4 linked regions of the Rattus norvegicus genome follow. The protein of the gene in region 2 interacts with the protein of the main gene of each other region in a pairwise test. Links are inferred from orthologs where the notes say so. Each region holds a gene or a part of one and is shown on either strand. Other genes may lie near its edges.

Region 1 (5,958 bases), on a different chromosome or scaffold from region 2:
CTGGGGGCTGGAGAGATGGCTCAGCAGTTAAGAGCACTGACTGCTCTCCCAGACGTCCTGAGTTCAATTCTTAGCAACCACATGGTGACTCACAACCATCTATAATGGGATCCGATGCCTTCTTCTGGTGTGTCCGAAGAGAGCGACAGTGTACTCATATAAATAAAATAATAGTAAATCTAAAAAAATTAAGAGCTAGTTGAGAGTGAGCAAGCTAAAGCCAAGCTTTCATAATAAAAGGTATCTATGTCATTATTGGGAACTGGTACCAAAGAGACAGCTTGGTTACATCTGGCAACCCAGGTCAGTGCCAGCTCCCAATAATGACAAAGACTTTTCATTAATATGAAAGCTTGGCCTTAACTTAGGCTTACCCCCAACTAGCTCTTATAACTTACATCAACCCATTTATACTATTCTACATTCTGCTACATGGCTCACAACTGATCCTCAGTACCAGTCACCTATTCTTCCTCCATGTCTAGCTGACCTCAGAGTCCCTCTCTATGCCCAGAAGTCCCTCGATTTAGCTCTTTATTAAACCAATCAGTAGGTACCTTAGGCAGATAAGGAAGGACAGAAACATTTTAACGCAGTATACAAAAAGATTATCTCCAAAGAAAATCTAAAAACTGAGCAAGAATAAACAGGCAAAGAATTAGAATAGCCATGGGTGCACTGTAGCCTTTGAATCTTATTATCATGCCACCAATCCCAGGAGCTGAACAATGTACTGGCATGATGCCTCATATCTTTTCTATCCTGGTAACCTCAGATGTTGGTGTTAGCCTCTCCTGACTAAAGTATCTGCATATATGATCATATATGCAGTTTTGCCTACATTTCCCATAGGCTTATCTACACATTTAATTACATGGTAGTTATTTTTCTAAGTGGTTATAATAAGTATTTCAGGGAGTTGGCCCAGAAATAAAACCCACAACTAAAACATAGACTTATCTATGGGTAGCATTTGATTCCTTCCCCAAGACCAAGCACAACCAAAGGGAAAAGCCACACTGATTATTGAGACCTAAAACCAAGCACCTGTGTGCCATGGCAGCCCAGCTCCCATCCCAGTAGGAAGAAACAACAAGGTAAAAATAAACATGTTTATTATTGTGTCCACGAAAGCAAAGCCAGGATGGCCTTGTTAATACCCCCTGAAAAGGTGACAACAAACAGGCATGCATGACAACTACCACTGCCACCACCAAGTTTTCCTCTAATGAAGTGAGGTCCTCCCCACCAGATCCCCATACCCTAAGAGTCAGAGGCAATAAGGCTAGGAGGCTCCAGAGGAAGGTACATACGGGCCTACTGGGCTGTGGAAAGCCAGCATTTGCTGCTTCCTTGGCAAGATGAGGTGGAGACAAGCACTGCCGTAGGCTAGGCCCTGTACCCTCTAACTAGAATACACAAAAAAGCCCCTACCCCCCACCCCCAGCAAACACTGCTAAGGCAGTCAGCCAAAACTCCTGTTAAGAGCTGCTCTGAAACCAATACCCTTAGGGATCCATCCAGAAGGGGTTGCCTTCTTCAGCTTGTATGGAATAGTAAACAAAGAGCAGAAAGGCAGCAAAGGCCAGGAAGAGTAACAGCTGGCCCCAGAGTGGGACCTGTCGATCCTGGCCCAGAGCAGCAGTAGGGGCCTGCTTTTCTGGTCGAATGGCACGTCGGGTAAGCCATGAAGAGGGAGAAGATGAAGAGGAGGACACAGAAGAGGTGGAGGATGTAGGATAATATGATAAGCCCAGGGAGCTCCTGGAGACATTGGAAATGGGGCGGTAGTGTGCGATGCTCTGGTAGGCACTGTCTCGGCCATAGATGGGGCGTTCCCTGTAGCAAAAGAAGGGGACAGGTAGGCAGGAGAGTCTGAGTGTCAAACTTGTCCCTGTCCCTACATGTGTTCACTACTCACCTATCCTTGCCTTCCTCTTCTGAAGAAGAGAAAATGTCATCACGCACCTGCCGGATAATTAGGATTAGAAATGGGAAAGAATGGTTTCCCCAAATGTCTCTGGCTAGCCTACTCTAGTCACATTGTAGGGGGCAGAAAATTGCCCCCCCATCATTCTGGGTCCATGCCCTCTTTAACTGTGGGGCCTTGCCACCCAGTTACAAACCTTGTCAACTTTGTCCCACCATCCTTTTATTCCCCAGGATTCTCAGGAGGCTTAAACCTACATCCTAGAGTACAGGTGCTGTTATATATGCTCAGATCATAAAAGTTTGTGGGCTGCAGAGATGCCTCAGTGGTTAAAAGCACCTATTGTTCTTCCTAGGTACCTAAGGTCATTTTCCAGCACTCACATCAGGCAGTTTACAACTACTTGCCATTCTAGCTCTAAGGGGAATCTAAGGGGAAATCTGACAATTCTGGCATCTGTAGGCACCAGCACTCATGCATACTACCCACAGACACATACATGTAGTGAGAATTCTTGAAATTTGGCTTAAGAAACACAGAAATATTATAAGAATGTTTTTATTTTAACCCTAGATGTGGGATATGGGGCTGTTTTACAGCAGCTATGATTTGCTTCATGCTTTTGAGTTGCAGATAGTTTCTGCAATTTTGTGGTATTTGGAATTCTGGGAATTTTTCAGAGGGTATGTAAATACTAGAGCCCCAATAGGTGAGGTTGGTTACAGTTTGCTAGTAGCTGGGGTCAAAGAAGACACAAGGAAGAAAGAAATTAGATTCAGGGATCTTTAGCTCTCTTTCTCTATCTAATGATTGGGGGTGAAAGGGTGAGGGGAACCCACAAACTAACAAAAAATTGGCTACACATAGGTATAATTAAAGTAATTAAATTTTTAAAAATGCCAAAACCCCAAAAACATTTGTGTGTGCTGCTGGATGCTGGAGATGAAACCATAGGTAAATGCTCTTCTACTGAGCTATATATGCTCATCCCCAAATCTAATAGTTTTGGAGGTTCCAACGTAGAACTTTTGAGCCAACAACTGTATGCTGATCCTAACCATACTTGAAGGCCTAAGATCCACTCTCTGCACCTAGTATCTCCTTGAACTATCCAAACCTAGAATTCCCTAAGGCTACATACACCCCAGGTATGCCTACCAGACAACTCACCTGGTGATGGAAGGTATCATCAGCATCTACAAGTGAGGTCCCTGGCCGGCGGAAGCTCTTGGACATGCCCACAGACTCGGGCTCCCCGTATGTCCTGGTAGTCAAATAGCTCTCCTCATAGTAGTCATCATTATAGTCTTGAGGAAGAAAACAGTGGTAGAGGAAAAAGTGGTGCCCCTTACCTGGCCTCTTGCCACCTTCCGCCCCCCCCCCCCAGTCTGTGTGTGTGCTGTGCCAGTTTCTTCTCTCTGAAGCCACTGAGAACTGGTACAAGGGGGTGAGGTCTGGAGTTTCACTGTGCCCAAATCCCTGAAGCATGGGATAAAGACATCAGTGCCCATCCCACACCTGCCTTACCCTTGCTCTGGTAAAGTAAGGCGTCCTCCTTTTTGGGCAGATCATACATGTCTGAGTCCACGGAGGCTGAATCCAAGTCTGCATGTGGAGGAGAAGGTACAGGACCTTCAATCTCCAGACTTCCCCCTACTCCCTCAGTAGCTTCAGCCACACCCTCCCTCCCTGCGCCTTGTGCCCCAAGCTGCTCTTTGGGGCTGTGCAGTTGGAGCCTCACCTGAGAACCGATAGGAGAATGAAGACGATGACGAGCTGGGGGGCGAAAGCCTCCTTCTCTGGGTCTCGTACTCGAAGATTTTCTTTTCGTAGAGCTTGCGAGTGGAGCCTGCCCAGACACAGGGTGCGAAGCGGTCAGCGGGTGCGAGCCGAGCACCCCAAGAGCACAAGGGAACACGGGGAGGGGACCTGAGGGAAGGAGGAGGTAGGAAGAACGCTCAGGGAGGAGCGCGGGAAAGCGGGGGACCGAGAGGTTCTGAGCGCCACCGGCTGCAGCATACCCACAATAGGCCCATGCGGGATGTTGTACTGGCGTAGCACTGCGGCCAGCTCAGTATCGGACAAAACCGCATAGTCGTCCATGGCAGACACGGCCGGCACCTGGAAGCGGTGTTGAACGCCAGGGGCGGCCGGCACCTATACACAGGGCCCAAGAAACAGACAGCTCGGAGCCTAGCAGAGGAAGCGCCAGCGCCTCAAGAGCGGCTGTGGGCGCGTCAAGCCGCCGTCACGTTTGCGTCACAGCCGCTGCTACGCAGGTTGCGCGCTCTCCTCAGGGCAGGCCCAAATCCGCCGGAGCGGCCAGTACAGACCAGTCTAGCAGGCTGGACTGGCAAATACAAACGTCACACTTGTGTGAGATTGACTCGAACAGGAAGAGGGAGGGGCTTGCGGGAGAGATTTTGGGGCAGCGGAGACTTCCTTTGAGAGCTAGGCAGCTGAGGGGCGGGGCTAGCTAGGCTATCTGAGGGTGCTAAAGCTCAACGTACTAGAGGGGCGACAAGTGTTCTCAGCGGACCAAAACTGGCTTGTGATTTCCCAAGCTGTGAAATCTTACACACCTTTGTGGCTTCATCCTGATTTCCAGTGCCTAGGATTCTCAGCCACAGTCTGGTCCACAGCAATGTGAAGAGTCCAATCCTGAGAGCAAACCTTTCCACAGCGCCTGACGCTGTTGCGAGCTCTTTGTGTGCACAAGTGCTGTCATACAGGACTCTCATCACCTACATAACCACCCACAGACCCCTGGCACTCGCTACCCATCTCCGCTGGTCTTCACAGGCTCCATGGCCCTGGCCTGCACACCTGTACAGGCCCATTCCCACCGTCCTCTCTGCCGCCTAGTTCCATCCGGGAGGAAATGGGGCTAGCACTGGGACAAGAGGCCGCCAACACTGTAGGACCAAGCAGCTTTCCAAAGGTCCAGGGCATGCCAATGGGCACAATCAGAAGGTGCCTGCTATGTGATGCATGTAGATGGGTACACCTTGTACCTGCCTAACTCACTGTTCCATCCACCTTGGGCCCTGAGGAGTTTTGAGGGGAGAAGTCTTCTTTGGCAGAGTCTCTAAGCTTGGTGTGACCTTAGAGGCCTAGACAGTGTGCAAAGCCTAGAGCAGTATCTCTCAACCTTCTTAATGCTGCCGACCCTTTAATACAGTTCCTCATATTGTGATGACCCCACCACCACCATAAAATTATTGTGTTGTACTTCATAAGTGTAATTTTGCTATTATAAATTATAAATATCTAATATGAAGGATATCTAATATGTGAGACCCAAAGGAATAGTATCCCAGAGGTTCCAAACTGCTGGCCTAAAGGTAAACCATGGGAATTGACGGAGGCTCACTAAGGATCTGGATCAGAGAAAGGTTGCCTTGAAGAGTGAGCATGACCATTATATTCTACGAAAAGTCATGTGGCTCTAGGTGTAAGCTGCCCTTTACTGGAGACATCTAGAAGAGGGGGTACATGCAGAAAAGGTGTGTGGGATGCCTGATCTCTTAAATCAGTGATTCTCAACCTTCCTAATGCTGTGACCCTTGTTGTGACCACAACGGTTACTCATGTTGTAGTGACTCCCAATCATAAAATTATTTTTGTTGCCACTTTATAATGATAATTTTTGCTATTCTTATGAGTCATAATGTAAATATTTTTGGAGATAGAGGTTTATTAGAGGGGTTACAACCCATGGGTTTTCTAAATGATAGTGATAGTGAATACTCTGGTCAGCTCTAGGCTGGCCTTGATGACACTTTAGTGAAGGTCACTGGCCAGTCCTCTATAGAAGTTTAAAGTAGGCAATGGTGAGGAGGTGGAGCCCAGTTTTGACCACATACAAAGTGCTTAATGAAGAAAAGTTGCTGTTGGATGGGTTTAAAAGACAGTGCCCTCTCTATCCCTGTAAATGGAGCTGTAAGAATCTCTGGAAAAGATACTGTGTTAAGGAAAGACAGGAGAAAGTTCTTGGGCAGGAGTGTGTGTGTGTGTCTGTGTGTGTG
Region 2 (5,930 bases):
GATTTTAAGTGCTGAGGTCTAGTACTTTGAAATTAATACCCACAAAAGCACGGTGCCCAAACCTTACCGACTGCCTCTTTTTTTTTTTCAAGTGAGACTTAAGACATGTTTAAGATAAAAGTCGATCAAAACTGTCTCAAGCCCAAGTGCTGGTGGCAAATGCCATCACCAAAGCACTCAAGAGGCAGAGGTGGGCAGATCTCGGTGAGTTTGAGTCCAGCCTGATCTACAGGCCTCCCAAAGCTACTCACAAAGAAAACCCTGCTCAAAAAACTGTCTCAAATACGTTAGGGAGTGGTTCATGAATAGTTAATATGCCTGGTACCCCGATCTCCAAACTCCCAACAGCTCCTTTCCCCTACCTTTGTCACTAGCCCCAATATCTTAAAGTGGCCAGTTCAAAGTCAGGTGCTATAACTGCAAGCAGAATACACAAGTCACTTTCTCCTCGCGCCCCTTTTTATCCCTTCCTCCGAATATCTCCTAGTCTAGAAACCTTATTTCTAACCGCTGGATTCTAGTTGCGACGGGACAAGGCCTCAAGGACAGAAAGAGGTACCGAGAAAAAGAAGGTCCAACAACTCTTGGCGGGTTCTTGGGATGAAGTGCTTGCTTTGCCAAATTGTTATGCCTGGGAAGGGAGAACCCGCACTCGGGTGTCCCCTGATCCACACAACCCCAGGACATCTTGGTCAGCCCTCGAGGAACCGAGAACCTCGGTCAAAATCCCCCTCCCCGGGCCATTACAGGCTCACAGACACCTTCACGACCCCACAGCCCCCCCCCCGCAGAAGCCCTTCAAGTCCTACCACGTCACTCCCATGGCGAAGGGTCAAAAGGTGGTACTGCCAAATACTCAAACTCAGAGAATCCAGACCTTCCCACGAGAGGCAGCCCCCTAAACACAGGAAGCGGTCGTTGACCGGCCTCCGGAAATGCGTAAATACTGAGCGCCAGGACGACACGCCCACAGGGAGAGGCATCTCTGGATACACCAGCGGTGACATTTCTAGTACGTCATCGACCCGGCTCCGCCCCCAAAACATACAAGGGGTTGACAACACGCCCTAGGCTACTTTCATGAATTCTGGAAAAGGTGACTCGAACATCCACCTCTTTCAGTGAGATTATCTGAGAATTTGGAGACTCCTGCTCCAAGCCCCGAAGCTCTTCTAGAGATGGCGATATATGAGGAACTTCCGGCCTCCGAACGCTGGGGGGCACTGTGATGCCTCAGTGACCTCTTGGAGACCGGAATACAAGGCGCAAGCGCAGTCTCGTCTCTTAGCCGGCTTCACACGTGTAAACTTTGTGGGCAAGTTTTTCGACAAAAATGCCCAAATTAAAGGTGACACGTGGGGCCAGAAATCAAGAGAGACATGCACCTCTGGCGGAGCAGATTCTGGCTGGGGACGCAGTGCGTGCGGGGACCCGAGAAAAACGGCGGAGACACGGGGTCGAAGAGGAGGAAGAGTATGTGGGACCCCGGTTGAGCAGACGGATTTTGCAACAAGCCCGGCAGCAGCAGGAGGAGCTCGAGACTGAACACGCGACTGGAGATCGGCCGGCAAAACCGCGAGAGCGCGCCACGCGGCTGGGTGAGTGACAAGGGGTGGAGTGGTGAGTTGGGCCGGTCTGATACTCTCCATCGGAATACTGGGTTAGAATTAAAAAGAGTAGGCGGCTTAACTTTCCCGCGTGGTCCTTCACTTCCACTCCTGGGTTTCGGGATCCAGACTTAAGCCAACAGAATGTGATCTCTCACACCAGTTCTAGCATTTATTTATTCTCTGTGCGTTTGAAGTATCTGTGGGCTGCCTGCATAGTGCTTTGAGCTGTGTTAAGTTTTTAGGCAGTTCTGATCCAGAAATAAGATCTTCATCACTCCTGATGGCACCGGAAGTGTAGCTCAAGGCACACATTAAATAGATAATTAGAGTAATATATTCCAGGCAGGAGTGGCGATGCTCACCTGTAATGCCAGCACTCCAGAAGCAAGGCAGAAGGCCTCCTTGAGTACATAGTAAATTCCAGATTAACCTCGACTACATTACATGATAGAACCCTATCTCTCAAGAGAGGGGGAAAGATATTTCTGTTTAAACAAAAACAGATGGACATTAATTCTGTATGGTGGGTATCCCAGGTTTCACGTCCTTCTAGTAAGATCTGAAAAGCAAGTGGGAAGTGTTCCAGTGATGAGGGAGGGGAACGAGTATTGTTCAGAAGCTAAAAGTGGGGTGGGATGGGTGGGTAGATGCTTGGTAATCTGTCTCACTGGGGAGGAACTGTCGTTGACCTCCAGTTGCTTAATCTTCCATTCCCATCTGTCCTAAAAGCAGTGTTTGAATGTGGCTTTAGGGCTACAGCAGCTTTTCTGAAGTAAGGGCTCAAGGAGCCCAGGCTGGCCTCAAACTCTGTAGGGGAGGATGACCTTAAACTCCTGATCTTGCCTCTGTTTTCCATGTGGCATTATAGGTGGTTGGCACCACGCCTGCCCTTAAAAACATTTTGTAACTGAGACTGGGTCTCCTTCAGTTGTTCAAGCTGGACTTGAACTTGCCGTGACCAAGGCAGGCCTTGAGCTTATAGATCCTTCCGTGATGCTGTCAGCAAATTTCACTCTGAAGCCATCTGTTTGATGGCTGCTTCCAGATTTTTCTCCCACGTACGTAGTTCGTCCAAGAGGCTCACATCTTTATTTCCAGTGGTCTTCCTGACAGCTCCAAGTTGAAGACTGGTAGCTGTCGATAGTTGAATGTGTCCACACAGAAGTTCTGACTTCCTTCCCAAACCTGCTCTCTGTTGGCTACACAGAGTTTGTTAGCATGTTAGCCTTCCACTGCTCAAGGCACAATCCAGTGTTCTCTTTCTCACTTCACAGTAAATCCTGATGGTTGTGTCTTTAGAATATATCCAGAGCCAGACCACTTTCCATTAACTTGGAACGCCTCCTGTTTTAGCTACCACAGTCTCCCCTGAATCACTGGGAGAGCATCATAATTTGTATTCTGTAACCTCTGTGGTCCATTCAACAGCTAGAGATCAACAGAATCCTATCTAATCTGCCTCTGTTTCAGGTCTAATCACAAAGTAAGGAGGGGATAAGATAATTCAGCTGGTAAGGAACATGACTTGAGACTCTTGACTTCCACCTACAACAGCTTGTAGTCCCACAGTGTTGAAGACAGATCTCTTGGACCCACTGGGCAACCAGTGTAGCCTAATCAGCTAACCCCAGGTCCCAGCCAGACCCTGGTTCAAAAACAAGGTCATCAGCTCCCGAGAAATAATAGTCAAGATTCCCCTCTGGCCTCTATGATGCAAGGGTTCACTCATATATAAAAAACTAACAACAGCAACAACAAAACACCCCACAAGTGTCAGCATCTGTCTCCTAACCTCTTTTATTCCCCTACTTATCTCATAGCACTTGTCTTCTTTTATTTAACATGTATTTTGTGTGCGTGTCATGATGTGTGTAGAGAACAGAGGAAAACTCTTGAGAATTGGTCCTCAGCTTTTCAGAACACTTGTTCTAGCAGAAGATCCGAGTATGGTTTCCAGCATTCATATGTCAGGCTTGCTGTCTGTAACTCCAGTGGCAAGGGGTCAGATGCCATCTTCGGATCTCACTAGACACCAGGCCCGCGTGTGCACAGACATACATGCAGGCATGCAGGCAGGCACCGCTCACACTTAAAGTAAATCTACAACAAACACCCTTGGCTCTCCCTGAATGTGCTCTGTGGACTCCTTGAGCTCTAGGTACCCTTAGTCCACTTCCAAGCACATGACCTGTTGCTCTGTAACACTGCAGCTAATTTGGCCCATTAGGCTCTTTCCCAGCTGCCTTGCCAGGTGTGTGTGGTGTTTGTCACTACAGGTATGTTGGCACATGGCTTTAATCCCAGCACTCAGGAAGCACCCAGCCAAGGCTACATGGTCAAGACCCTGTCTCTAAAAAAATAAAAGTCAGGATATGTCAGGAATGGCTTGACCCACCTATCCACCTATCGCCCACGTAAGGACACAGAGACATTTTATTATGAAAGCTTGGCCTTAGCTGGCTTGTTCCCAAGTAGCTTATACAACTTAGCCCATTAATACTAGTGTACACGGAACCACATGGCTCATTTCCACTCCTCAGTACCTGTATGTGTTTCTTCCTCTGGCTGTCAAATCCCTTCATATCTCATTTCTTTCCCAGAGTTCCTATCTCTGCCGGAAATCCTCTCCTGCTTTGCTATAGGCCAGTCAGCTCCTGATTAAACCAATGGGACGGAGACAGAGAAGATGTTGTTTATACAACACCTGGACAGGTGATGCTTCACAAAAATAACAATAACAACTGCAAGTCTCCACTGTTACAGAAATCAGTGTGTGAATAATTCAAAGACAACCTTACACAGAACAGGAGCGTTTATCCCAACATCAGGAGCTCAGTGTTAAGCATTGTGGTGTGTGTTTGTGATTCCAGCACTTGGAAAGTAGAGGCCTGAGAACAAGGACCTCTAAGTCATCCTTGACTACCTAAGTCAGCCTTTTAAATGTATTGGTTAATCAGAGTCTGGTGCCACTGACTAGCCCTCAGCCTTCCGGCTTGGCTTTACCTTTCCTTTCTGGTGCTATAGTCTAGTTCTGGCTCTGGCTCCTAATGCCCAACACTGCGACAACACTACTTTCCAGGGTGTACAGCAAGCTCTTGCTCCCAAATTGCCCATCCAGGGCCTCCTCACCCTCACCAAAGTGCCTGTGGTAATTCTGCCTCTACCATGGTTTTAGCCTTAGCACGTAATACAGCTGTACTGTGCAAGCCACAAAGTGGGAAGTCAGGACCCGAGCTACCTACTGTCCAGTTTGATGACAGTACCCATTCCTCGAGGTTATCTGGATGGACCAGGTTCCACGTGTATAGTATAGAATGGCTTCTTCGAGGTCACTGAGGGTAGTGCATCAACCATTATTTCCTGGCATCATCATCTCCTTTTTTTTTTTTTTTTCCGGAGCTGGGGACCGAACCCAGGGCCTTGCGCTTGCTAGGCAAGCGCTCTACCACTGAGCTAAATCCCCAACCCCCATCATCTTCTTGTGCTGTATTTTGTCTCTCAAGATTCCAAGACTCTGGACATGGAAGAGGTGAGCTGACTCCGAACCCCCTGCCCACCATGCTTATTTTGTCATTTCTCTTTTAGGGCCAGGAGTGCCACAGGATGGATCGGATGAGGAGGATGAGGAATGGCCTACCCTGGAGAAGGCAGCCAAAATGACCGTGGTGAACCACCAGGCAGAGGTAGTGGTGGACCCTGAAGATGAACGCGCCATTGAAATGTTCATGAACAAGAACCCTCCTGTCAGGTAGGGTTTGAAGGTTGGGACAGTGGATCCTGGTAGAAAGTTCCCACAGGCCACAGCTGTTGGTCTGACCATTGTCAACAATGGCCCTCCTGAATGGGAATGACCCAGACTCAAAATGCCTTTGTCCGTCTGATCGGGAATTTCATAGGTTACCCAGTTCCTTTTTATAGCAGGGGGCCGTTCTATTGCACTTATTCTTGGTTTGTTGCTCTCATGGCTTAGTCTGTACTTCAGGGCTTTCCTTCTCAGACACGGTGTTTGGGCCAGATACCTGTCTTTGTGCATGGGAGCTAGAACCCAAGGATCTTAACAGCTATCTCTGGCATCTCCCCTCCTGATACCAGCAGTGAGAAATCACTCTACGAATCGCCAGATTTTCCCAGAGGGTGAGCCCTACCTCTGGGTAGAACCACAGACCTATTCCCATGTGTTCTCAAATCTCAATGCTACTTCTGAACATGCAGTACTTAGGCTGCCTGTGGTCAGATTCTTGAGCAGGTGGATCTGGCCCGGTTCAGAGGAGTGGGTTTAGGGCAAAGGGGCTCAACCAGCCTCTTCTTCAGAGTGCGCTG
Region 3 (6,115 bases), on a different chromosome or scaffold from region 2:
AATGTAAATAAAGATGCACAGACATAAGATATACATATATAATTATTTTTAACATTTGGGTGGTGAATGTGCCCAGCAGACTTCTGACTCATGAGCTTAAAAGAAATGAAGTGTTTTATTGTGTCAAAGGTCTCATGGTATAGAATTTACCCATCTGACCATGCCAAGAACAGAGTCTAGTCTTGTTAACCATATGCAACACATCTCCATTGTTTGATTTTGCATTTTCCTGATGATTGATCATGTTAAACACCTTATTATCTGCTATTTGTTTCTTCTTTGAGAAATACCCATTCAAGTCCTTTGCCCATTTTAAAACACATGACTTCTTTACATATTCTAGATAGTAAGTCCTTATCCTATATGATTTTAAACATTTTCTCCCTTTCCCAATGTGTCGATTGTGTACTCTGCTGTGTAGGTGTTGGTCCTATGTAGTGTCATTTGTCTGGTTTTGCTTTTGTTGTTTGTGCTTAGAATATGACGCATTAACTTTTACATCTCTCAGCACTGTACTTCCCTTTAGGTAATGTGGTTGGGTTTTCCCCTTCATTTCCACTCCAGTGTTCTCTAGCAGGTTGTTTAACAGTGCTGTTGGCTGACTGCTATTGGTTCCCTGACAAGACACACCCATCTACCTTTTTTTTCTCTTTTTGGATTTGTTCCCAAACACAGTAATGGGAGGCCCATGTGAGAAGGGCTGTTTTTTGTTTTTTGTTTTTTTTTTTTTTTTTGATTGCTTTCTTTTTCCCTCTATGAGTGGTACTAGAAAGAGTATCCTCTGGGGTGGCTTCCTTCTCCCATCTACTTTTTAAGTGGGTGTGGTGGTCTTTGAGCCAACGACGGGTCAAAAGGCAGGCTGTATCCAGACCAATGAGAAACTCCTGGGTTCCGAATGGATCTTAATAGGGACATTGAATTCTTGGATGGCTAGCATCTGCCTCATTGTCCTCTTGGTAATGACCCTCTTGTATTGTTGGTCAATGATCAGAAGGTGCAAAAGAAACCTTACCCCCTTACACTTTTAGTGGCTTCAATCCACCGGAACAACTTGTGCCCAAGGCCAATAGAACATAGCCATTCTCCCTTTGTAAAAAGAAAAAGGGGTTGGGTTTCCTCCAATTGTCTGCCCCTCTCTGTCTCCTCCACTATTTTTGTTTTACTCTCTAGTTAACTTTGCATAGAACAGCTTCACCAGTAGGACCCGTGAGGAGGATCCAGGCACACTCTTCTCATTGGCGAGTGCAACAGCCTTTTCCCTTGCTCTAATCTGGGGGTTTGTGGATGTAGAAGGGAGGTGGGTGGGTGAAGAGTTTGGCCACAGTCTTCCTTCTGTACTTCACACATACCACCCGCTCGCTTGTAGACGCGCAAACACACACACACACACACACACACACACACACACACACACACACACACACACGCCTGTTCAGTCAGTCCCCTTCTCCCCGTGTCTTCCATCAAGATGACAGGGTGCTGGAGAAAAGGCTGCTGGAATCAGCTGGTAGGTACAGTAGTAATCTGAACCCCACCCACCCGCTGCCTTTGCTTGCTCAGGTTTCTCCGGTCACTCCTGCCAGGGGAGAAAACATGTAAGCGCGCCTCCAGAGGAGGGGCACGGGGAGCTGGGAGTGGCGGGGGCGGCGGAAGGTGAGCCTAGGAAGGTGGCCCAGCGCCCCTTCTGCCCGGGCCCCTCCCCGTGCTCCCTTAGGGTGTCAGTCTCCGCTCCGCTTGCCCCCACTCCACCCTCCTTTCGAAGGGATTGCCTTTTTTTTCCTCTGCGGCGGCGGAAATGACAGTGTGGTGCTGCGGTGGTGTCATGGAGCTGCCTCTGGACTGAGAGGCGAAAACTCTTTAAGTTTAGCCCGGGAGACCTAGACGCCGGAACGTCGCGGTCTCCGTGCTGTCTCCCGTGGGGCGCGCGGGCTGGCGGATCCCGGCTGCTGCGCGGCGGCAACGGCGGCGGCGGCCGCAGCGGAGAAGGCGGGCGGCGGCCTAGAGTGGTGGTGGCGGCGGCGGCGGCAGCGACAGCGGCCCGGGAGCTTGCGCGGGAGCCCGAGCCAGCTTGCTGTGGAGGCCAGCGAGCGCACGGCGCTTCCCGGCGCGCGTAGGAGATGGCTGACACCCGGGAACAATATGGGTAAAACGCGTCCCCTCGCCGAGGCCCGGGGGTGGGGGGTGGCTAGTGTGGCCGCCCGCGCAGGGCTTGGTCCCGGCCAGCTCCTGCTGCTCTTCAGGTGCCGCCGGGGCCGGCGCTGGCTGAGGACACTCGGGGTTGGGAGAGTGGGGGGGACCGGACGGGACTGGGTCCTCGAGGCTCCAGGTGGCAGTGGCGGAGTCCCAGTTGTCTGTCACACGGTAGTGACCCGGACTCCTGCTACTGCCCTCGTGGGAAGGAGTTTGCACTCCTAGATCCCAGGCTGGGGAACGGCCCGAGGCCTCCCGCTTGGCCAGGCCGAGCCAGGGGAAAGCAGTGGAGCGGCTTAGCTCTCCTGGCGCCTAGGCGCAAGTCTGGGAAAGGGCGCAGCCGCCTTCCCACGCTCCCGCAATCCACGGCGTCCTCGGCCCGGGCGGCGCCCGGAGGTCGGCGGTTGGCTCAGTGGTGCTGGCGCAGCAGCCAGAGATGCGGTGGACACCCTGCGGGCAAGAGCCCGGGAGAAACTTAATCCCCCCTCCCTTGTTTTCCCCCTGCTGGGGAAGTGATCTTCAAGTCTCTGTCTGGGTGGTTCTTTATTTCTGGCCTAGCTGTAAAAGCAGCGCCGTTGGGGGGAAGAGGGAAAACTTGAGTGTGTCCACAGGACACACTGCGACTGAAACAGAGACACGGGAGCCTTTTTCATTTTGGGCTCCTAAGAATTACTGTAACGTTACTGGTGATGGGCTGGCTTAGGTTGTTTCGCACTTCACGTGCAGCATATTATTTATTTATTTATTTATTTAGGAGGCATTTCGGTTTAGAGCAGGAAATTAGGATCCCGGGATGGTTGGACTCCTCACTTTCCCCTCTCTCTTCACTATGTGCTGTCACTATTCTGCCTCTTCTTATCCCTGCCTCCCATCTAAGCTGCCACATCTCTCCCAGAGTCCCTGCACTCTCAGCTTTTCTCTGTCGACCTGTGCACATCCCAGCAGTGCAGCTTCTTGCTTTTCAATCACTTTGAATTTTTTTTTTTGAAGATTCTGGAGGGTGGGGCTGGTGAATGGCATTAGTTGTTTGTCTCTGAGGAGTATTTATGAAGCAAGACATTGGAAACTGTAATAGGAGACAACTATTGTGTGGGGATTAATGAGATTCTCAAATTGGACCATAAGGGCTGACTTTAATCCCACTCCATTTCCTCTCCGAAATCGAATCAGCTCTGACAATATTCCAATAGAAGATGGAGTTGGCAAACGAAGAGTTCACACTCTTGCTCCCTTCTGCTTAGGGAGTTTTGCTGTATCCTAGATTCCTATCCCAGCACCCCCACCCTTTTCACCTCCTCCCCACTCAGCACTGCCCCGAGGGAGAATCGATCTTTGCTATTTTTATATATTCCTGCTCAATCAATTAGCTTAATACAGACGCATAATATGAATTAGATTTCTCTTGATTGTTCCTTACAAAACTTGATTCATGTGGTTGAAACACAAGCCTAGGAGCCTAGAAGATCAGAGAGTTCATTCCAAATGTGACGTTGCATTGGCTTTACGGCCTTTAGACATTTGTATGACCTCTCTTTCACAGATGCTGCACTTGCATAAAAGGCATAATATTGTGTACTGGGTATTGTGAGTATTGGCTTGGTCCTTTGAAGATAAAAGGATTCTATAAACCTTGGCATTATACTTTCCAGTGAAAGCATTTCATTTATCCCTTAGTGGGTTACTGGATTGACTGGATATAAATGGGAACACTAATTTACACAAACCTTAATTTGCCCTTATTAGTTCCCTTGGGATTCAAATTATCATTGTAATTTAGATCTTAAGTCAATTTGTTTCGCAAATGTATGTGCAACTGAATGGGAACATATATACAATTAGGCATAGAAAGTAATGGTGATGATTTTAAGTCGAGTCATAAATCATATTGATTACACTTTACCCTAACAGTCTGAGTCAGACTCATTTGAATATTCAACCTCACCCATTTTTTTAGCCTATGCGGAGGGGAGTTAGTTAATGCCCAATAAAAAGTGTCACAGATAACTTTAGGTCTGGCTATAGAAGCACAATTAGCACCTAGCAGCCATGAGTCAATATTTTTTAAAGCACCTTTAATGCACAGACACCTCTGCTGGCTGTGTTGAGGGAGGCCCTGCACTTGACCCAGTATTTTGGGCTCATATTTGCCCTATGCTAAACTCTACTTACATCTCCAAGGCTCGATCAGGTCAGGGTGCGTGATGTGTGGAGTAGGGAGAGAAGTTACAGGACATGAAGAGCTGTCTCTCCTATTTACTTTCATGACTCCCGTGATTCCTACCTAGCATGTTGTACCTTGCAAGACCACTTCTGAGAGGCACTTGCTGCAAATGAGTGGCTTGCTTGCTTCACAAACATATCATCTGAACAGTGCAAATTGACTTAGATAAAATTGGTTTGGTTAATCCCTCCTCTAAGAACAGGGCAACTTGCTCCAACTTGCAGGCCTTAAAATAGTGCTGGTGGAGTGTCATAATTGCATCCAAGTAGTGTTCTGAGTAGTGAGCCTTTCTATTCCCTCCTCCCATAAAATCTGCTGACACCGCAACAATTAGGAGGGAGACTAGAGAAGAATGCTTTTGTAATCACTCAACAAACCTCATCATCTTGATGAAGAGTGAAGAACACTGTCTCTGATTGTTAGGTCCCTTAGAACTAGAATTTCTCTTTCTCAACAGGGATGTAAAACCCCAAAAGACAAAGTCAGGGATGAGGCATACAATTATGTCTCAGGTGACTGTTTTAAGAGATAACTGTTTGGCTTTGTCTGTCTGTCATACAATCTTTCTAGATTTTCCTAAATTTCTAGATATTGGCCATGGGACTCAGCTGCTAGAAGAGGTCTGAGGGGATAGGAGGATGCTCCAACTCCATTTAGTATTATTGACTTTTTGTTCTGTCTTCTATACAAAAGAAAGCTGTGTCTATGATGTGCGTAGTGTCCTTACATGAAATACTATATCATCAAAGTGTGAGGTATAACACGTTCATGATGGATAGAACACAGTTCAAGAGGTTTGAAAGGCAGTCACTTAAATTTTAACAGTTCTTTATTTGCGTGCCTCTGACCATGTATATGGTACATGCATATGTGCCATAGCATACATGCAGAGGTTAGAGGGAAACTTGTGGAAATCTACTCTTTCCCTCCACTGCATGGGTTCTGTGGATCTAACTCTGGCCACCAGTCTGGGTAGTTAGCAAGTTTACTTGCTGGGCAGTTTCACTAGCCCTAAATATAGTCACTGTTTTTGAAAATTGGGTACAAAATATGATATTGTGCTGTCTGTATTTCCAGATCCTTAATAAATACATTGATCGTCACTGAGTGGTAACAGAGGAGGCCAGAAAATGGCTTCTCTGTGTGTTGGTTGAGCCACAGTGAGAAGTTCAGATGAGCAGTGGCAAGAGAAGATAGTCCTACGCTGTTGTCTGCTCTGTGCAGACCTTTAGCACCCTTTATCCTCACTTCTTGCCTTCAAGGGCCAAGAATCTCGTCGCCACCCATTTTCATATATTAAAACACTACCCAAAGTTTTCTGTGGGCTGTAGAAGTCTGTTCTGTGGCTTTTTCTGTCTGCTGCTTTTTTCATCTTTTTATTCTTTATGACCATAGTCACATAACATTTTTGATTGTCAGACTTCCAGAAAGTCTATAAACCTGGCAGAGGGATTTTGAGGAAAAAAAAAAGTGACACGATCCCACCGTCACTTTCTCCATGAGCTGTTTGCCTGAATAGAGTATACACTACAATGTTGGTTCAGTGTAACTGGGTTAGAAAAGTGTGGGTTCTTGTTTCTCCACAGCACTCTGACTGCCTGACCTTGGGCTTTGTCTCGGTCTCTTTCTGCAGGTCAGACTCCTCTGGGTGAGGACGAACAGTATCCTCTGGCTCTGGGTCATCCTCTTACAGAGACCAGATGA
Region 4 (5,877 bases), on a different chromosome or scaffold from region 2:
GGCCTCAGCCAAGGAGGATGTCATACCTCATGGCTGACCTAAGTGTGAGTGGGCGAGTTTTATGTGGTGTAAACTCAGTCCTCAGCCTGATTTCTGTTCCTTCCTGCCTCCCTTCTCTGCCCCTAGGCGGTATGAAGCCCAACACGTTGGTGCTCGGTTTTTATGATGACGCCCCACCCCAGGACCATTTTCTAACAGACCCAGCCTTCTCTGAGCCTGCAGAGGGCACCAGAGAGGGCGGGTCGCCAGCCCTGAGCACGCTGTTCCCTCCACCTCGGGCTCCTGGGAGCCCCAGGGCTCTCAGTCCCCAGGACTACGTGGCCACCGTGGCAGATGCTCTCAAGATGAACAAGAATGTGGTTCTCGCCCGAGCTTGTGGGGCTTTGCCCCCGGAGCGGCTAAGCCGGGGGTCCGGTAGCAGCGCTCAGCTACATCATGTGGACGTATGGCCCTTGAATCTGTTGAGGCCCCGGGGTGGACCTGGATACGTGGACGTCTGTGGCCTTTTTCTGTTGCAGATGGCTACCATCTTAAGCATGGTGCCTGCCTGGCACAGTGCCCGGCTCCGGATCTTTCTGTGCTTGGGGCCCAGAGAGGCTCCTGGGGCAGCAGAGGGAAGGCTCCGGGCCCTGTTGAGTCAACTCAGGATCCGGGCAGAGGTGCAAGAGGTGGTGTGGGGTGAAGGGGCTGAGGCTGGGGAGCCTGAGGAGGAGGAAGGGGACTTTGTGAATGGTGGTCGAGGAGACGAAGAGGCAGAGGCTCTAGCTTGCAGTGCCAATGCCCTGGTGCGTGCCCAGCAGGGACGAGGCACAGGAGGAGGCCCTGGGGGACCAGAAGGAAGGGATGGAGAGGAGGGACCCACCACAGCCCTTACCTTCCTGTATCTTCCTCGACCTCCTGCTGATCCTGCCCGCTACCCTAGATACCTGGCACTGCTGGAGACCCTAAGCCGTGATCTGGGTCCCACCCTTCTTATTCATGGTGTCACTCCGGTTACCTGTACTGATCTCTGATGCCTGTGCATACAGTGTTGGATAGATAGAGAGGGCCCAGGCCCATTCTCAACAAGGGACGCCCTCCCCCGCCCCCAATGGGCCCTGCCCTTTTGATGATGTTTTAAGGGGACCCTGGTCTCCTTTGGGTGGCGAATGGACATAGTACACTAATTCTAGGTGGCTGCCCCATTGTAGGGGAGGACATTGCGGCCCTGTTCCTGGTCTGCCTACGCTTCCTTCACTGGTGCCTTGACCAGAGGGGCTGGTCTCTTCTGTGACTCTAGGCTACCTCAGTGTCCCCATCCTGGCCACAGACGCACCACCTCCCTCTCCCCGACTTCCTTGGGTGGTGATGTTTGTGTTTTGTTTTATTTTTCTAACTACTGACCATAAATAAAAGACCAAAACACTATGGGCTGGTGGAGCACTGCTGGTGGGTAGATGAGAGGGAGCCGGGTGGGAAGGGAGAGATCTATGAGGGGGTGGAGACTTTCAGAGTCCCGGCCAAGAGGCTGCCACGTGCAGGACTGGGGCAGGGATCTGAGAGAATTGCTGGACCAGAGCCTCTCGGAGAGGCCTGCAGCCCACCCTAGGCTTGGCTCCGGAGGAGGGCGGTCCTCACTTAACAGGAGGGGGCCAGAGAAAGGAAGAATCGTAGAATAAGGCTTGGGGGACCACGTGACCCTCACCAGGAATGTGGTGACGTCAGGGGGCGTGGTCCTCTCCAAAATTGGGGAGGAAGGGAAGAAAAAAAAAGCCAGAAAAAGTTTCTTTGCTGGAGTCCCAAACGGGGCGTGGGGCCGAAAGGGAGGGAAGGGGCTCAAGGGCCCGGCCGCTGGGCTTGTGGGGGTCCTGACCTCTGTCTGGAGTGGAGCAACCCTATTCCAGACCATGTCCGGGCCCACCTGGCTTCCCCCGAAGCAGCCAGAGCCCTCCAGAGTCCCTCAGGGGAGAGCGCTGCCCAGAGGAACCCTGGGTCCGCCAACGGCCCATGGAGCAAGTAAGTGTTCCCCTTTCCCACACCCGGGAGTGGCAGAAGAGCCATTGGCCACTTTCCTTAACCTTTTCTTCCTTGCCTATCTGCTTCCTGCTGTCCCTTCCCCAAGCCAGAGTCCCTTGCTCTTGTGCAAGTTTCCCTAACTCTTGGTCCATCCCCAGACTCCCAGGTACGTGAAGGAGAGCTGCCTGAGAAAGGCGGCTTTAACCAGGGTACCCTTCTCCGCTCTCACCTCCCGTCTCCCCCTTTAGCGCTCCAGCCTCACCCCAGGGTCAACTTTTGCCCCCTCCCACCTGAACAATGTTATCAGCCTCCGGGGGTACCGGAAGATCGGGGGCCTACTTGGGTGGGATCCCATGGAGCAGCCCAGCGCCTGCAGGTGAGAATTGGAGGTGAGGGTAGGATCAAGGTGAGAGAAGGCTAGGTAGGGGTTGTGATCGGTATTTGTTCTTCCTGTTTTGGCTCTGTCTCAGGGGCTCCCTCCAGACCGGGGAGTCATCCACCCTGGAAGTCTGGACGCTGAGATAGATTCGCTCACCAGCATGCTGGCTGATCTGGACGGGAGTCGCAGTCATGCACCTAGGCGACCAGACAGACAGGTGATCTCCTGTGTTCTGTCTCTCCTGTGTCAGCCGATTCTCTTTTGTAGATTCTCAGCCTCAGTCCGCCCTCTTCACTCTCCGCCCACCCTCTTTGCAACTAATAAATAACTGGTTCAAGGAATCATGAACTTCCTTCTTGTTAGGCCTAACCCATGGGAACTTGACAAAAGTCATGGCTCCCGAGATTCCACCTGGCGCGCATGGATCTTGGATCTGGCCTTACTGTTTGTGCATTGTTTGTCTTCCCAGGCTTTTGAGGCTCCTCCACCCCATGCTTACCGTGGAGGCTCCCTGAAACCCAGCGGAGGTGCTGTTCCAGCCCCGATGCTCCCAGCATCTCCCTATGGTGGACCTACTCCAGCCTCTTATGCTACCGCGAGCACTCCAGCTGGTCCTGCTTTCCCTGTTCAAGTGAAGGTGGCTCAACCCGTGAGAGGCTGTGGACTGCCCAGGCGGGGGGCTTCGCAGGCCTCTGGACCTCTTCCAGGCCCCCACTTTCCTCTGACAGGTCGTGGTGAAGTCTGGGGAGCTGGCTATAGGAGCCACCGAGAGCCAGGACCAGGGGTTAAGGAGGGAGCTGCTGGAGTTCATAACCCTGCAGGAGGAGGAAGAAGAGGTGGGCATGAGCCTCAGGTAAGCCAGGGGGTGTGGGCACGGTGGTACCTGGTCATTGTAGGTAACTGGCCGTTGGTTAGGTGGTGTGGAGGCTGAGGGATTAAGATACCGTTTTTAGGAGACGCAGTTCAGTTGGTAGAGAGTTGGTAGAGTCCTTTTTTTTTTTTTTTTTTTTTTTTTTCTTTTTTTCGGAGCTGGGGACCAAACCCAGGGCCTTGCGTTTGCTAGGCAAGCGCTCTACCACTGAGCTAAATCCCCAACCCCGGTAGAGTCCTTTTTTATTATGTAGGAATCCCAAGGTTCTAGACCCAGCACTGTATAAACAAAGCATGGGGGAGGTAGAGGCAGGAGGATCAGTAAATTAAGATATTTGGCTACATAATGAGTCCAAGGCCAGCCTAGGCCATATGAGACACGCTCTTAAAAATAAATATAAGTCAGTTGTGGTTTTAGGGTACTTAGAGGTCAAGGATTACGATGTCCAAAGGGAAGGGGCTTCCTTCCCTTGTCAGCCTGGGAGATATTCTCAGAGGAAATTTCAGGGTTCCTGAGCTTGTGGGTTACTTACGGTGTGTGAGGTCGAAGCAGCACTGCAAAGCCCTGTTTCTCCCTGTAGGGCCCCTTGAGCCAGCCTCCAGAGGAGGAGCTGGAGAGACTGACCAAGAAGTTGGTGCATGACATGAACCACCCGCCCAGTGGGGAGTACTTTGGTGAGCTGACCCGCTGGGTAGGATGGGACGGGGAGGGGACAGTGGATCCGGTGTCCTGGGTCTGTGGAGACTGATCTTGTTCCCCTCTGTCCCCAGGTCGGTGTGGTGGCTGTGGCGACGATGTGGTTGGTGATGGAGCTGGGGTTGTGGCCCTGGACCGTGTCTTCCATACTGGTTGCTTCGTGTGTTCTACCTGTCGGGCCCAGCTCCGAGGCCAGCACTTCTATGCCGTGGAGAGGCGGGCGTATTGTGAGAGCTGCTATGTGGTGAGCGGTTGGGCTGTGAGAGGGTGTTGCCAAATTGGGAGTGTCAAGATTTGACAGGCAGGTTTCTATCCAAGAGAGGGCCAGGTACTCAGCTGGGTGGGCCTGGAAGCTGGAGATTCAAGCTGAGGTACAATGAACTAAGTATGGTGGCTCAGGCCTGTCTGGAGGAGAACATGGGCTACGGAAGCGGGTTGGAAGCCAGCCCAAGGCACAGGTTTCCGAAGATCGATTGATCCATCAACCAAAAGAACACTTTGCGTTTTGTTTCTTGGATTGCCTGTTTGTCGTTTTGAGATAATACGTCGTGTGTCCCAGGCTGGCCTGAAACTCTTAGGTATTTATAGCTAAGGAAGACCTTGGGTATGGGGATTCCAGGTGTGGGCCACCAGATCTGTTCTTTGTGGTGTTAGGAATGGAACCCAGGGCTCTTGCATGCCGGACAAACACTTTACCAACTGAGCTACAACCCCAGATTAAGGAATGAGTTAAATGTGGACACGAGCTGAAGGAGAGGAGGAACAGCTCGTGCTGTCTAAGTGGGTGGCCACCTTCCTTCCTTCCCTCCTTCCCTCCTTCCCTCTTTCCCTCCTTCCTCCCCTCTTTTCCTCCACCTCTCCTTCCCTTTCTCCCTCCTTCCTTCTTTCCTTCCTTTGAGACCGAGTCTCACTACGTAGCCTAGGCTGGTCCTGAAGTTACAGTCTTCCTGCCTCGGCTTCCGAGAGCTGAGAAACCAGATGTGTGCCCAGCTAGAAGGCATTTTAGAGTTGAGGTAATTTGTAAAAGCCTCACAGCATTCCTCAGAGGCAAGCACTACTGACTCATCTCACTGAAAGAGGAAGTGTGCGGAGACCAGATTCCTTGTCTAGAGGCTTCAGTGCCCGTATGAAACCTCAGAAATGCTAAGTCCACCTTCCACTGAATGCTCTGCGGGGAACTACACACACCACGTGGTTGGGCAGAGAGTACGCCTTCCTGGCTGGAGTGGCTTTTCCCCCTGACCTTCCTTCCTCTTTCCTATTAGGCCACACTGGAGAAATGTTCCACATGCTCTGAACCCATCCTGGACCGAATCCTGAGGGCTATGGGGAAGGCTTACCATCCTGGTTGCTTCACCTGTGTGGTGTGCCACCGTGGCCTCGATGGCATCCCTTTCACAGTGGATGCCACCAGCCAGATCCACTGCATTGAAGATTTCCACAGGTCTCAGAATGCCTGCTCTGACCTATCTCTTCATGTCCCAGGGTCTGCCTCTTCTTTTTCTATCTTTTCATTCTCTTTTTTTTTTTTGACATTACTTTCTTCCCCAAGACCGAAACACATCTCTTAGATCCTTCTCTCACACACCCTCCTACCCCCCAGCCCCTTCCACTCTTATTGGGCTCCATTATGAGCCTCTTGAGGGGTTGGGAGGGAGGGATCTGACAGCCTCTTTGGTTCCCCTCCCCTGCAGGAAATTTGCCCCACGGTGCTCAGTGTGTGGTGGGGCCATCATGCCAGAGCCAGGTCAGGAGGAGACAGTGAGAATTGTTGCTCTGGATAGAAGTTTCCACATTGGCTGCTACAAGTGTGAGGTGAAGAGGTCACCGGGCAAGAGCAAGAGCTTTGCAGAGCCTGGGAGGCTGGGAGAAAAGCACGGTGGGAAAAGTCACAGAAGAGCTCTCAGACTAATAGAGGTTTTGTTTCTCCTCACAG

Evidence for each region.
Region 1: the proteins of Bysl (region 2) and Emd interact in binary tests that used the Homo sapiens proteins (3 or more experiments, as listed by UniProt). The two-hybrid records come from large-scale screens. The link is inferred for Rattus norvegicus from reciprocal best matches to the Homo sapiens genes BYSL and EMD.
Region 3: the proteins of Bysl (region 2) and Mid2 interact in binary tests that used the Homo sapiens proteins (3 or more experiments, as listed by UniProt). The two-hybrid records come from large-scale screens. The link is inferred for Rattus norvegicus from reciprocal best matches to the Homo sapiens genes BYSL and MID2.
Region 4: the proteins of Bysl (region 2) and Trip6 interact in binary tests that used the Homo sapiens proteins (3 or more experiments, as listed by UniProt). The two-hybrid records come from large-scale screens. The link is inferred for Rattus norvegicus from reciprocal best matches to the Homo sapiens genes BYSL and TRIP6.

The regions. Positions count from the first base shown.
Region 1 is NC_086039.1:157,188,620-157,194,577, reverse strand, and holds Emd (emerin), read right to left. Parts: upstream 4,141-5,958; 5' UTR 4,034-4,140; coding exon 3,952-4,033; intron 3,860-3,951; exon of another isoform or gene 3,780-3,859; coding exon 3,672-3,779; intron 3,536-3,671; coding exon 3,458-3,535; intron 3,238-3,457; coding exon 3,101-3,237; intron 1,969-3,100; coding exon 1,922-1,968; intron 1,840-1,921; coding exon 1,509-1,839; 3' UTR 1,129-1,508; downstream 1-1,128. UniProt on the Homo sapiens protein: Stabilizes and promotes the formation of a nuclear actin cortical network. Stimulates actin polymerization in vitro by binding and stabilizing the pointed end of growing filaments. Inhibits beta-catenin activity by preventing its accumulation in the nucleus.
Region 2 is NC_086027.1:20,879,076-20,885,005, forward strand, and holds the start of Bysl (bystin), read left to right. Parts: upstream 1-1,265; 5' UTR 1,266-1,333; coding exon 1,334-1,598; intron 1,599-5,195; coding exon 5,196-5,358; intron 5,359-5,930. Other genes in the region: Med20 (mediator of RNA polymerase II transcription subunit 20), read right to left, coding at 810-823. UniProt on the Homo sapiens protein: Required for processing of 20S pre-rRNA precursor and biogenesis of 40S ribosomal subunits. May be required for trophinin-dependent regulation of cell adhesion during implantation of human embryos.
Region 3 is NC_086039.1:109,141,845-109,147,959, forward strand, and holds the start of Mid2 (probable E3 ubiquitin-protein ligase MID2), read left to right. Parts: upstream 1-1,975; 5' UTR 1,976-2,139; coding exon 2,140-2,143; intron 2,144-6,115. UniProt on the Homo sapiens protein: E3 ubiquitin ligase that plays a role in microtubule stabilization. Mediates the 'Lys-48'-linked polyubiquitination of LRRK2 to drive its localization to microtubules and its proteasomal degradation in neurons.
Region 4 is NC_086030.1:25,021,222-25,027,098, forward strand, and holds the start of Trip6 (thyroid receptor-interacting protein 6), read left to right. Parts: upstream 1-1,737; 5' UTR 1,738-1,886; coding exon 1,887-1,995; intron 1,996-2,243; coding exon 2,244-2,371; intron 2,372-2,465; coding exon 2,466-2,591; intron 2,592-2,843; coding exon 2,844-3,227; intron 3,228-3,825; coding exon 3,826-3,919; intron 3,920-4,015; coding exon 4,016-4,185; intron 4,186-5,206; coding exon 5,207-5,385; intron 5,386-5,635; coding exon 5,636-5,756; intron 5,757-5,877. Other genes in the region: Slc12a9 (solute carrier family 12 member 9), read left to right, coding at 127-1,013. UniProt on the Homo sapiens protein: Relays signals from the cell surface to the nucleus to weaken adherens junction and promote actin cytoskeleton reorganization and cell invasiveness. Involved in lysophosphatidic acid-induced cell adhesion and migration.